Linked DNA regions of Xenopus tropicalis. The main gene of each other region encodes a partner of the protein of the gene in region 3 in a complex. Links are inferred from orthologs where the notes say so. Each region holds a gene or a part of one and is shown on either strand. Other genes may lie near its edges. The genes, in order: naa50, naa10 and hypk.

Region 1 (3,415 bases), on a different chromosome or scaffold from region 3:
CCATTACATGAATTCTTTCCCTCTATGGGATGGTTGTACTGGAATTTATATGATTAGGTAATAGCAAGTGCAGCTTAATATAAAGAGGCAAAACATCCTGATTATCTACTCACAATTAAATTAAAGAGGTTGTTTGCCTTTAGATTAACTTTTAGTATAATGGAGAGTGCTAATATGAGACTATGAATTATTTAGATTTTTAATCAGCCTCTCTCCAGTTTGGAATTTAGACAGCTATCTGGTTGCTATGGTCCAATATACTGTAGCAACCAGGCAGTGGTTTGAAAGAGAGACATGAATATGAATAGAGGAGGGCCTAAATAGAAAGATAAGGAATAAAAAGTAACAATAACAATAAAACTGGAGCCTCACAGAGCAATAGGGTTTGGCTGCCGGGGTCAGTGACCCCCATTTGAAAGCTGCAAAGATTTTGAATAAGAAGGCAAATAATTCAAAAACTTTATATAATAAAATATGAAGACCAATTGAAAAGTTAGTAAGAATAGGACATTCTATAGGTAAAGCCAAGTGCACAGAACATCCGAGGATAAATAAGAACAAAGGCAGCGAGGTTTGAAAGAGAATGCTAAAAAGAAATGAGATTTTATTTAAAGACTATTCCAGACCGACAGAAGCCACTCACTCTCCCAAACAAAAGGGGGGGGAAAAAATAAACCAAAAACAAAAAAACTTGTAAAGCCAAAGAAATCCACATTCCCCCGCCGAACTGAACTCTGCCCCGGGGAAATATTCCGAGTTCGACCGACTGAAATACCTGTTTGTGTGAGAGAGACAGATTGTGTAACTCTTGGAAGAAGCAATTTTTTCTGTTTTTTTTTTTTTATCATTTTTAAAGTGGAGAAAGAAGGGGGGATGTTAGAGGTGAACGTTTAGAATAAAACTCAATGGGTCTCTTTCCGTATTTGGCGACGAGCAAGTGCAAGAGAAGTGTTTGTTGCTTTTTCCGTTCAGTTTTCGCTCTTTAGCACGTCTGCATTCTGCCCCGGAGATGAAATCTTTAGGTTTTTCTGCAGGACGTGAGCGTCGGCCGGCTCTATCCTCTTGTAATAGTTCTTCTTGGTTTCGATAATCTCAAAGCCAAACTTCCTGTAAAAATCTATGGCGGATTCATTGCTGATCTGAACGTGGCTGCCGAAGAGGAAACAAATGCTCGGGTTAGTTGTGCGCTCTCACATTCTGAGTTGCACTACTTTACCTTCTTACAGGTTCAACTATATCTCTCAACTAAGTTGTAAAATACGGTCAGTTTCCAATAAGATCCATGTGGAGGAACCATCACCAAAACGCCTGACATTCCATGTAACTCAAAGCCTCTAGAGCAGGGGTCCTCAAACTTCTTAAGCAAGGGGCCAGTTCATGGTCCCTCAGTCTGTTGGTAGGGCCGGAATATAGATCCCCCCCAACCCTGCTCCAGCTCCCTGCTGTGGGGTCAAACTACAGCCTACACCTGCATCCTCCCTCTCTTTCAGCTCCCCCCACTCCATCCGTCCTCCCAATAACAGCTCCCCTCTCCCGCTGAGTTCTCTCTTCCAGCTCCCCCCTGCTCCATCCATCTTCCCTCTCCTAGCTCCCCCCTCCCGCTGAGTCCTCTCTCTCTCCCAGCTCCCCCCCCACTGAGTCCTCTCTCTCTCAGCTCCCCCCTCCCGCTGAGTCCTCTCTCTCTCCCAGCCCCCCCCCACTGAGTCCTCTCTCTCCCAGCTCCCCCCCACTGAGTCCTCTCTCTCCCAGCTCCCCCCTCCCGCTGAGTCCTCTCTCTCTCCCAGCTCCCCCCTCCCGCTGAGTCCTCTCTCTCCCAGCCCCCCCCCCGAGTCCTCTCTCTCCCAGCTACCCCCCCCCCCGCTGAGTCCTCTCTCTCCCAGCTACCCCCCCGCTGAGTCCTCTCTCTTCCAGCTCCCCCCTCCCACTGAGTCCTCTCTCTCCCAACTATCCCCCCCGCTGAGTCCTCTCTTCCAGCTCCCCCCGCACTCCTTCCATCCTCCCTCTCCTAGCTCCCCCCCCCGCCGAGTCCTCTCTCTTCCAGCTCCCCACTGAGTCCTCTCTCTTCCAACACCATCCGTCCTCCCTCTCCCAGCTGAGTGTTCTGTTCCAGCTCCATCCGTCCTCCCTCTCTCAGCGCCCCCCTCCTGCTCCCCGCTGAGTCTGCTCTCTTCCAGCTCCATCCGTTCTCCCTCCCGCTCCCCGCTTCGTCTGTCCTCCCTCTCACAGCTCCCCGCTTAATACTCTCTTCCAGCTCCATCCATCCTCCCGTTCCCCGCTGAGTCCTCTCTCTTCCAGCTCCATCTGTCCTCCCTCTCCAAGCGCCCCCCTCCCACTCCCCACCGAGTCCCCTCTCTTTCAGCTCCCCCCACTCTGTCCTCCCTCTCTTCCAGCTCCCGCTGCAAGGGGTGAGAACGTAGTGGGGGCCGGGTAAATTACCTTGGGTGGTCCCATGTGCCGTAGATTGAGGATCCCTGCTCTAGGGTCTCAAAGTGATTGGCTGCTGATTAGGGCCACCAGATGTTGCAGGGCAGCGCTGCATTTAAAATAAACTGCTAGCTGGATTTTTTAGATGTGTCCCTGCATTTTCAAGTGATCTGCTCACCCTACTTTTCATGGATGTGTTTAGATTTCAGACTGGGTGGCAAAGTTCTCACTTCTTACTAATCCGCTTTGCACAATAGATTCGTAAAACGTGTATTGTGAGCAGGGCCACCAGGGGCCCTAACAATACACAGAGATATTCCATTAAAATGCACGATTACTTACAGATAAATGTTGTCGAAGGTGCCGTCTTTTTCACAAATATTTAAAACATGGTTCAGCATTTTTGTTCCTGCAAACACAGAAATACATGAATTATAAAGTTGAACATTGTACTGTTTGATGCGCTGTACATGACATCCATTGCCTCAATGTGTTCCCAAATCAGTAAAACAATGTAACACAAGGCAGCAGCCTGACAGACCTGACTCGTTGGGGGAGACTGACCCCTGAAACAGACTGAGCCCTGGGCATGGCTTGGTAATTACCGGGGTCATGGAATGATACAAACGAGCTGCCCCCCCCCCATCAGATTGGCATTGTGTAGAAAGTTGGCAATTTTTACTAATAAAAAGGCTGCTTACCTATTCCAAGCCTGCGGTATGGGGCCAGGCACCCCAGGGTCATGATATATAGTCGTTTCTGATTCTGGGAGTGATCCACTCTACAGCACACTGCACCCACAGCAATGTCGTTGAAATAAGCTGTGGGGGAGAGAGATATTGAGTCAGCAACTGAGCAAAAACACCAAATAATAAATAAAAATGCGAATAGCCCTGGAATGTTACTGGGCCTGAGGGACCTAAAAACAAACATGCTAAGCATTAATAGAACATTTATTGAGGGAAAAAGTTTCTAATTAAAATAATGTCAG
Region 2 (2,941 bases), on a different chromosome or scaffold from region 3:
GCTTAGTAGCTGGCAGTTTGCAATTTAAGTTACTATCTGGTTGCCAGGGTCCAAGTTACCTTAGCAGCCAGGCAGTAATATGAATGACAGGCTTGAAGATGAATAGGAAATAACCGAAAAAGTAACAAAAACATTACAATTGTAGCCTTGCAGAAAAATAACTTTTGGTTGGCTGGGATAGTGATCCCCAGCAAACGTACAGGGTTTTAAATTACCAGCTCCAAAGAATCAGAAGAAGCAAATCATAAAAAAAAATGTTATAGATACACAGCAATAATCTGTACTTCTGCTAATGCTTTAATGTCATTAAGTGCCAGGTTGCTGCTCCAGGAGCATCACATAGTCAATGGAAATAGTACTGCACTTGTAGGACTTTCTTATAAAAATAGAGAACTTTTATTGCACCATGTCGTTTTGGCTCGCTCTTGTTTTCTATTTCTTTAAGAAAGTCCTAAAGTGTGCTACTATTATATATGTATATATATCAATTAAAATTTGCTAAGATAGCCATCTGTAACATACTAAAATGTTACTTGAACCAATAAAACCGTGCAGAGCCTTCCCTCCTGAACCGCACCAGCTTGCCCCCAGTTATGCCCAGTTCACCTTACACTGAGAAGAGTCAGAGAAGCGCAGTGTGGTTCAAAGACACCATCTTGCACAAGCAAAGTGATTGCAGAAACACGCGACTTTGAAGCTATGTACAGTCTGGAATCAGCTGCACATGCTCCATGATTCTGATCACTTAAAGCAACAAAAGGTGAATGGGGCATTTTTGAGGGGCAAGCTGGTGGAACAAAGGAACAAAAACTTTCATATAAGGTTATCATTCTCCTTTAAAGGTAAACTACCCCTTTCATAAAATAAAACACATTCTTGTGCAAGGGTACTTCACATGGGGAGGAAAGGGGGCTTTAACTCGTTAATGGTTTCTAGAAGCTCTCCATCTGCAATTTTAAGAGATAGAACTGGCTTAATTTTTTGCATCTCTTTGCAGGGAAGAAGATCCGGATGATGTTCCACATGGACACATAACCTCTCTGGTAGGAAATGATTACTATTAATAAAAATTGTTTTGTGTTACTGATGCAGGGTAATGGTAAGAAATTTTTGTGACAAGGATATATTTTCACTTGTACAGGCTGTAAAACGCTCTCACAGGCGGCTTGGCCTTGCCCAGAAGCTAATGGACCAGGCCTCACGTGCAATGATTGAAAACTTTAATGCCAAATATGTATCTTTGCATGTTAGAAAAAGGTTTGTGTTATTTTGTCATTTTGGTGTTTTGTTTTTTTTTTTTCTTTTTTGTTATTACATATGTGCTGTACTACTTTTAATATGTTCTAATATACTTTTCTTTATTCTAATCAAAGCAACCGAGCGGCACTGCATCTTTATTCAAACACTTTAAATTTTCAGTAAGTATAAATATTCCTCAGTTTATGTAAGAGAATATGGGGGTTCATTTGTTTGATTTTTACTTTGTAGTGATATGTTATAAAGCATAAAGCCCCTTCTCACTTTAGTGGTATAACTGTGGGGCTGGGGTGAAAGGTGTTGCGGGGGGCTCATGAGCCTTGACCATCCCACAGTTGCAGGGTCTGTATTTTACTAGGGTCTGTTTATTTCCCAATGGGCAGTGCATTTGGAAAATCATCCTGTGTGGCATTTAAATAAAAATGAAAGGTAAAATGAGAATAAGAGCAGGTTACTAAAAGGGACAAATCCAGGTAATATATGCTTATGCTATTAAATAACACCTTGTGTTAGAATGATCTACTTTTGTTTTCCGAATCTCTTTCATGCAGAATCAGCGAGGTTGAGCCTAAATACTATGCTGATGGGGAAGATGCATATGCCATGAAACGAGACCTTACTCAAATGGCTGATGAGGTATTTATACTCTTCTACTAAACTGATATATGAACTGTTATAGGTGATTTATATCTGTAGATTAGTACCCCTTTCACAAATTAAAGGGATAGTCAGACTTTTATTTAGTCACACTTATTTTATTTCTTGGCATTTATTTAGCACTATTAAATTGATTCTTTGGCACACCACTTGCATACTTCCATAGGGTTCCTCAGCTGCTCCCAAGCCAATTCCATAGACCTTCACATGAGGAAGAAGCACAACAAAGGCAGATGCCTTTAACACATTTATTGCAGAAAGATGTGGCACAGATATACATTATTCCAGTTTAACATATATATATCATAGTCACACACAATAGGAGCCAGTTTTTATCAGGAGCCAAATAATATGCCTGTATGTTTTTTGAGTGTAAGAGAAAACCCACACTTATATGGGGAGAACATGCAAACTTCTTGCAGGCTGGATTTGAACTCTGGACACCAGTGCTCCTGTGCTGACCTCTAAGTTAGCTAGCAGTAATGATACAAGTTTAAGGCAGAAGAATTCCAGCAGTAATTCAAAAATAAAATGTCTTTCCCTGGCAGGTGGATTACACATTTTCTGGGCTAGGTTTTTACCACACATGATAAAGGGCATAAACCAAGGAACATATCAGTGTAAAAATAAATGGTCTGTGCAAAATAAAAAAATGTTTTTATAGTTATCCAAAAATATAATTTATAAGGGCTGGAGAGAAGAATGTTTAATCTAATAACCAGAGCACAACTTCCTCCTTTACATCTCTCTAACCTGTATCTCTCTTACTTAGTGGTCAGCGATTTGAAGTGGGGGAGCCACATGGAAGATATTACTTTTGAATCTGAATTGTGTGCTCAGGATCAAAAGCAGACTAACTGAACAGTTATGTACCATACTGCCCAATAGTCCTCCTATTGTTTAGTAAAAACACCAAACTTTTGGCTCACCTAATCAAATATTTACTCAGTCACACTTACTTCACATTTTCTATCTGTTATCTTGAACAGGCAGCCATCTTTAAAAAGCTATTCTCCCTTCTTTTCCC
Region 3 (4,250 bases):
ATCCAGGCATATTTATCTGGACAATACATAGGTTCCTACTTGGAATAATTGTTTTATTAACAGTATCCCATTATACAATGAAACACACACAAAAACTATGGTTGTGTGCAGTTGCCCAATATTTTGGCAAAACATGGAAAACGGAATTACATATTCCCTCTTAGCTGTGCTTTTGTGAGTGGACACAACAAAGTAAGGAGTGCACAGAAGTTTCCATGGAGCCTCATCACTGAGAAGTTACTCAGTTTTTTTTTTAAACATGTTTAAAAGAGATTGTTTTAATACGAAGCGGGCACGTTTATGAACAATAGGCAATTCTACAAGATACTTAAGTTTGTCTCATATTCAGTCATTTTATTTGACCTGGTGCTGTATAATCCAACAAACAGCTTTCCTCTGCAGAGACGTCAACTTTCGAGTCTTTACTTTTGGGTGTGTTTGGGCAACACCTTGTTTAGCCCCCAGCTCTGCCCTTCCCTGTCTCTGAGCTCATTTTAGGAGGATTTAGGTTCTTTTCAGTTGAATAATCGGATTGGAAACAAACATTTTGTGACTTTTTTGTATTTTTTGCGATTTTTTTCATCCCTTTTGTGACTTTTTCGTGAATTGTCGCAATTTTTTCGTAGCTGTTACGACTTGCGCGAATTGTCGCAACTTTTTCGTATTGAGCGCTAGTAAGCGGCGGGCAAACCTTTCCGATTTTTTCGCGACGGCTACGAAAAAGTCACAATTCGCGCAAGTCATAGCAGCTACGAAAAAGTCGCGACAGCGAAGAAAAAATCGCAAAATACCAATCATTACGAAAAAAACGCATTCGGGCACTTTCGATCCGTTCGTGGATTAGTAAATCGGCCCCTATTACTATGGGGAGTGGGACCAGATATCTTCTGATAAACATAGGAGTTTTGATAGGTCGGCATTAGTCAGTTGCATGAAATCAATTAAACTGTCAGCTTTGACTGCCGCAAATGTGCCCAATTGCCAACAAGCATTCTCTTGGACAAATGATTCTGTTAATCCTCATGCCAGAGTAAAACTACTAAACTACAAATATTATTTGTCTTTTAAAATCTTTAGACAAATATCTAAATATTTAAAACACCATTGATGCCCCGTTGTTTCTACGGTAGCAATCAATCTAACGTTTCAGCACAGGAGAAGGCAAAGTTTATGCAAGAACTTTCTTTTCCGGTTTAATGGAACGCATAGTTGTCCCGCCCCCTGCCCAAAGAACGATAGAGATCGCGGAAGTGACGAATGCAATAGGCCAAGAAACCGGAAGCGGCGATTGAAGCGAGTTTTACTGCCTTGTGTTCCGGTACAGGTGGGAAAGATGGCGGCAGAAGGGGATGTTGAGTTAGAATTGGAGACTGAAGAGAACTGCAGCGAGCGTCCTGCCGACAAACCGCGCAAACATGACAGTGGGGCCGCTGATCTGGAGAGAGTGACAGACTATGCCGAGGAGAAAGAGATTCAGAGCTCCAACTTGGAGACGGTGAGAGAGAAATAATAGCCTGGGTTATTGGAAAGGGCATGGACTGATGATCGTTTGCTCTGGATGGCTGCAATAAAGCAATACTTATGTTTACTGTCACTGTTAGGTTATTGTAGAAAGACAGTGGAAGATACTTGCTTGGCAGATCAGGCAGATACAGCTTTTAGCTGGTGTGCGGGGCAATCATTACATGAGTAGAGGCATTATTAAAGGGGAAATACTGTGCCAGGAGGAATAATGATTTCCTTGCAATTTACTCATCCACATATAGAAGGAACATGCTCTTACTAGATAACCTTTGCATTGGTTTCCCATATACTCCTAACACCAGCCTGGCATTTGACTCTCACTGGTTACCTGCCCTGGCTGCACTGTATCATGCCAGCCAGCTGCCATCTTGTAAGTGGGCATTACAGCAGAGCTGCAATTAGCTTCCTAAATTCTACTTTACTTCTGGGGAAGGAAGGTTAGAACAAACCCGTCCATTTGGAACAAGAGGTTACTGGTGTGCTAGACTTAAGGCCGAACTTAAATAAAGTTACCAGGGGCAACAAAGTGAGTGAGAATTCAACACTGCTTTCCCTTTAACTGTATTGAAACATTGTTCATACATTTTGAATGACTGCTTATGAAGAAAGAACTCTGTGTTCCAAGACTGGTATTCTAATCTCACCTGTCTTTTGTGCAGGCCATGTCAGTGATTGGAGACAGAAGATCAAGAGAACAGAAAGCAAAACAGGAGAGGTAATTGCAATACCATATACAACATTTTATACTGGCCCTTTCCATTGCATTGTAATCAGGTCTCATTTAAAATGTAGAATGGAGTTTTATAAAGTAGAGTATTACTGGGCAGTGTCATTACTAATGGGTTCAACAGATATGGACTGTTTAGCATCTGGTTGCTGTCAGTAAGCTGCGGGATCATGTAGTAGTGTCAAAGGCTCAGTGTGACTGAAACACATTGGAGAGGCTTTAAATTGTGCCACATACTTGGTACCCATGCCATAATAGATCTTGTTAGGAGTAATATAATGAAAGCTAATGACTCCTGTGGCTTTGTAGTAAGCAACCTCTGCTGTACTGTAGATTCTGGCAAGGATAGTTGTCCACTGGTGGCCTTTTAGCCTGTGTCACTAGTACACTGATTATCCAAAAATTATGCAGCAGTCTGTTGAATAGAGTGTCGCTACTACTTTTGAGGTTTATTGGGAGTGTTATGGTTTTTACCAAATATGAAGACTTCTCAATGTTCTTTTAGTGATGGTTCAAACACAATTTTTTTGATCTATCTGCTCAGAAGCTGCCTACTCGGTTCCGTTGAAATCGCAATAATTTTTATAAATACAATAGCTAATCAAGCTTCTATTTTTTCAGAGAAAAGGAGCTGGCCAAAGTAACAATCAAGAAAGAAGACGTGGAGCTTATTGTAAGTATGGATAGTGATCTGGGCAGGAGCCAGTGACTGTGGTATAGTCAGAAGTATCAGGATTGAAATTGTAACGTGCAAGAATATTACCTAGCAAAACTGGCCAGTGGATCATGTGTAGTTTGGCCATATCCTCAGGCCAACTTTTCTCTCTCGCCAGGCTGTAATTGGAATCGAGATTAGATCAATTGTGTATTTACTATTAGCTGGCATTAAGGTGGGGGTGGAAGAACCAGTAGAAGAGAGTGCTGGATAAACTGGAGAGTATTGGTGGCTGCTGTATGCAGATATGGTAACACTAGTCTTGCATTGGAGGCCTCTACTGAAAAATGATTTGTTCTTAAACAGAGCATTATAGTTATGACTTAGTTATAAAATGAGAATATTTTCATTTTCAGATGAATGAAATGGAAATCCCTCGAACAGCAGCAGAAAGAAGCTTGCGGGAACACATGGGGAATGTAGTAGAGGCGCTGATTGCTTTGACCAACTGATCTTCTGGATGCTGCACGGATTTTTATCTTGTTGAAGAAAATTTACTTAGAACTGAAAAGATTTTATACTTTCATTAAGAGTTGTGGACTTTATTAGGACATTAAACAGTGCTGTTTTCCTTCTTAGCATGATTATTTGGACATATTAAAAATAATGCATTATTCAGGGCTCCATTTCCAAATACTGAAGCCAACAGTAAGTGTACTAATTTATTTAGAATAAACACCATCTTTCTAAATACGATTCTGAGTGCTGCTTTAACTGGCCATGCCGTGTACACATCTCTGAAATAGTATGTATGTGATCGAATTCATTGCCATAATTATCATTAATTGTGGTGTTTTTTAACAGTAACTGTAGTGTTTTACTTATTTTTATCCCAGACATAAACATAGAAGACCTAAGTGTATTGTCCCCAAGAGTATCAGACCACATGGAGGCACACAGATTTCTCCCATAATAAGCACTTGAGTAAATTAGTGGCACACTGTATTTTGAAAGCATGCACTTTACACATAGAGATGGTGCCCATGGAAGCAATTGACAGCCCATTATTTATACTATATGGGTCCAGGTGACCTATACTTTTGCTGTCATGTACAGTAGAACCAAGGTCACTTACCCTTTTATTGAGAGATCTAGTGAGACAAGCAGGAAAGCATTAAAGGAGAACTACAGCCTAACTAAAGTAGTAGGACAGAAATGTGTTGTACATTATGTTTTTGGCTTCTGTACCAGCCCAAGGCAACCACAGCCACAGGGAAGATCTAGTCCCGCTCATCTGTTTCACTTCATGCTGGCTGAATTCTCTGGATGTGCAGGGGAGCCACA

What was found.
Region 1: hypk (region 3) and naa50 share a complex: the UniProt entries of both Homo sapiens proteins name them as parts of the N-terminal acetyltransferase E (NatE)/HYPK complex. The link is inferred for Xenopus tropicalis from reciprocal best matches to the Homo sapiens genes HYPK and NAA50.
Region 2: the proteins of hypk (region 3) and naa10 are in contact, whole or in part, in a crystal structure (PDB 6C95), measured with the Homo sapiens proteins. The link is inferred for Xenopus tropicalis from reciprocal best matches to the Homo sapiens genes HYPK and NAA10. Residues at the interface, in NP_057484.4 of Homo sapiens: Lys27, His28, Ser30, Gly31, Asp34, Leu35, Arg37, Val38; in NP_003482.1 of Homo sapiens: Glu24, Tyr26, Lys29, Tyr30, Tyr33, Lys59, Glu134, Lys136, Tyr137.

The regions. Positions count from the first base shown.
Region 1 is NC_030678.2:3,208,365-3,211,779, forward strand, and holds the end of naa50 (N-alpha-acetyltransferase 50), read right to left. Parts: intron 3,246-3,415; coding exon 3,126-3,245; intron 2,834-3,125; coding exon 2,767-2,833; intron 1,150-2,766; coding exon 969-1,149; 3' UTR 573-968; downstream 1-572. UniProt on the Homo sapiens protein: N-alpha-acetyltransferase that acetylates the N-terminus of proteins that retain their initiating methionine. Has a broad substrate specificity: able to acetylate the initiator methionine of most peptides, except for those with a proline in second position.
Region 2 is NC_030684.2:34,756,806-34,759,746, reverse strand, and holds part of naa10 (N-alpha-acetyltransferase 10), read left to right. Parts: intron 1-997; coding exon 998-1,043; intron 1,044-1,141; coding exon 1,142-1,257; intron 1,258-1,373; coding exon 1,374-1,418; intron 1,419-1,808; coding exon 1,809-1,893; intron 1,894-2,941. UniProt on the Homo sapiens protein: Catalytic subunit of N-terminal acetyltransferase complexes which display alpha (N-terminal) acetyltransferase activity. Acetylates amino termini that are devoid of initiator methionine.
Region 3 is NC_030679.2:107,674,921-107,679,170, forward strand, and holds hypk (huntingtin-interacting protein K), read left to right. Parts: upstream 1-1,326; 5' UTR 1,327-1,333; coding exon 1,334-1,495; intron 1,496-2,183; coding exon 2,184-2,239; intron 2,240-2,872; coding exon 2,873-2,924; intron 2,925-3,322; coding exon 3,323-3,418; 3' UTR 3,419-3,657; downstream 3,658-4,250. UniProt on the Homo sapiens protein: Component of several N-terminal acetyltransferase complexes. Inhibits the N-terminal acetylation activity of the N-terminal acetyltransferase NAA10-NAA15 complex (also called the NatA complex).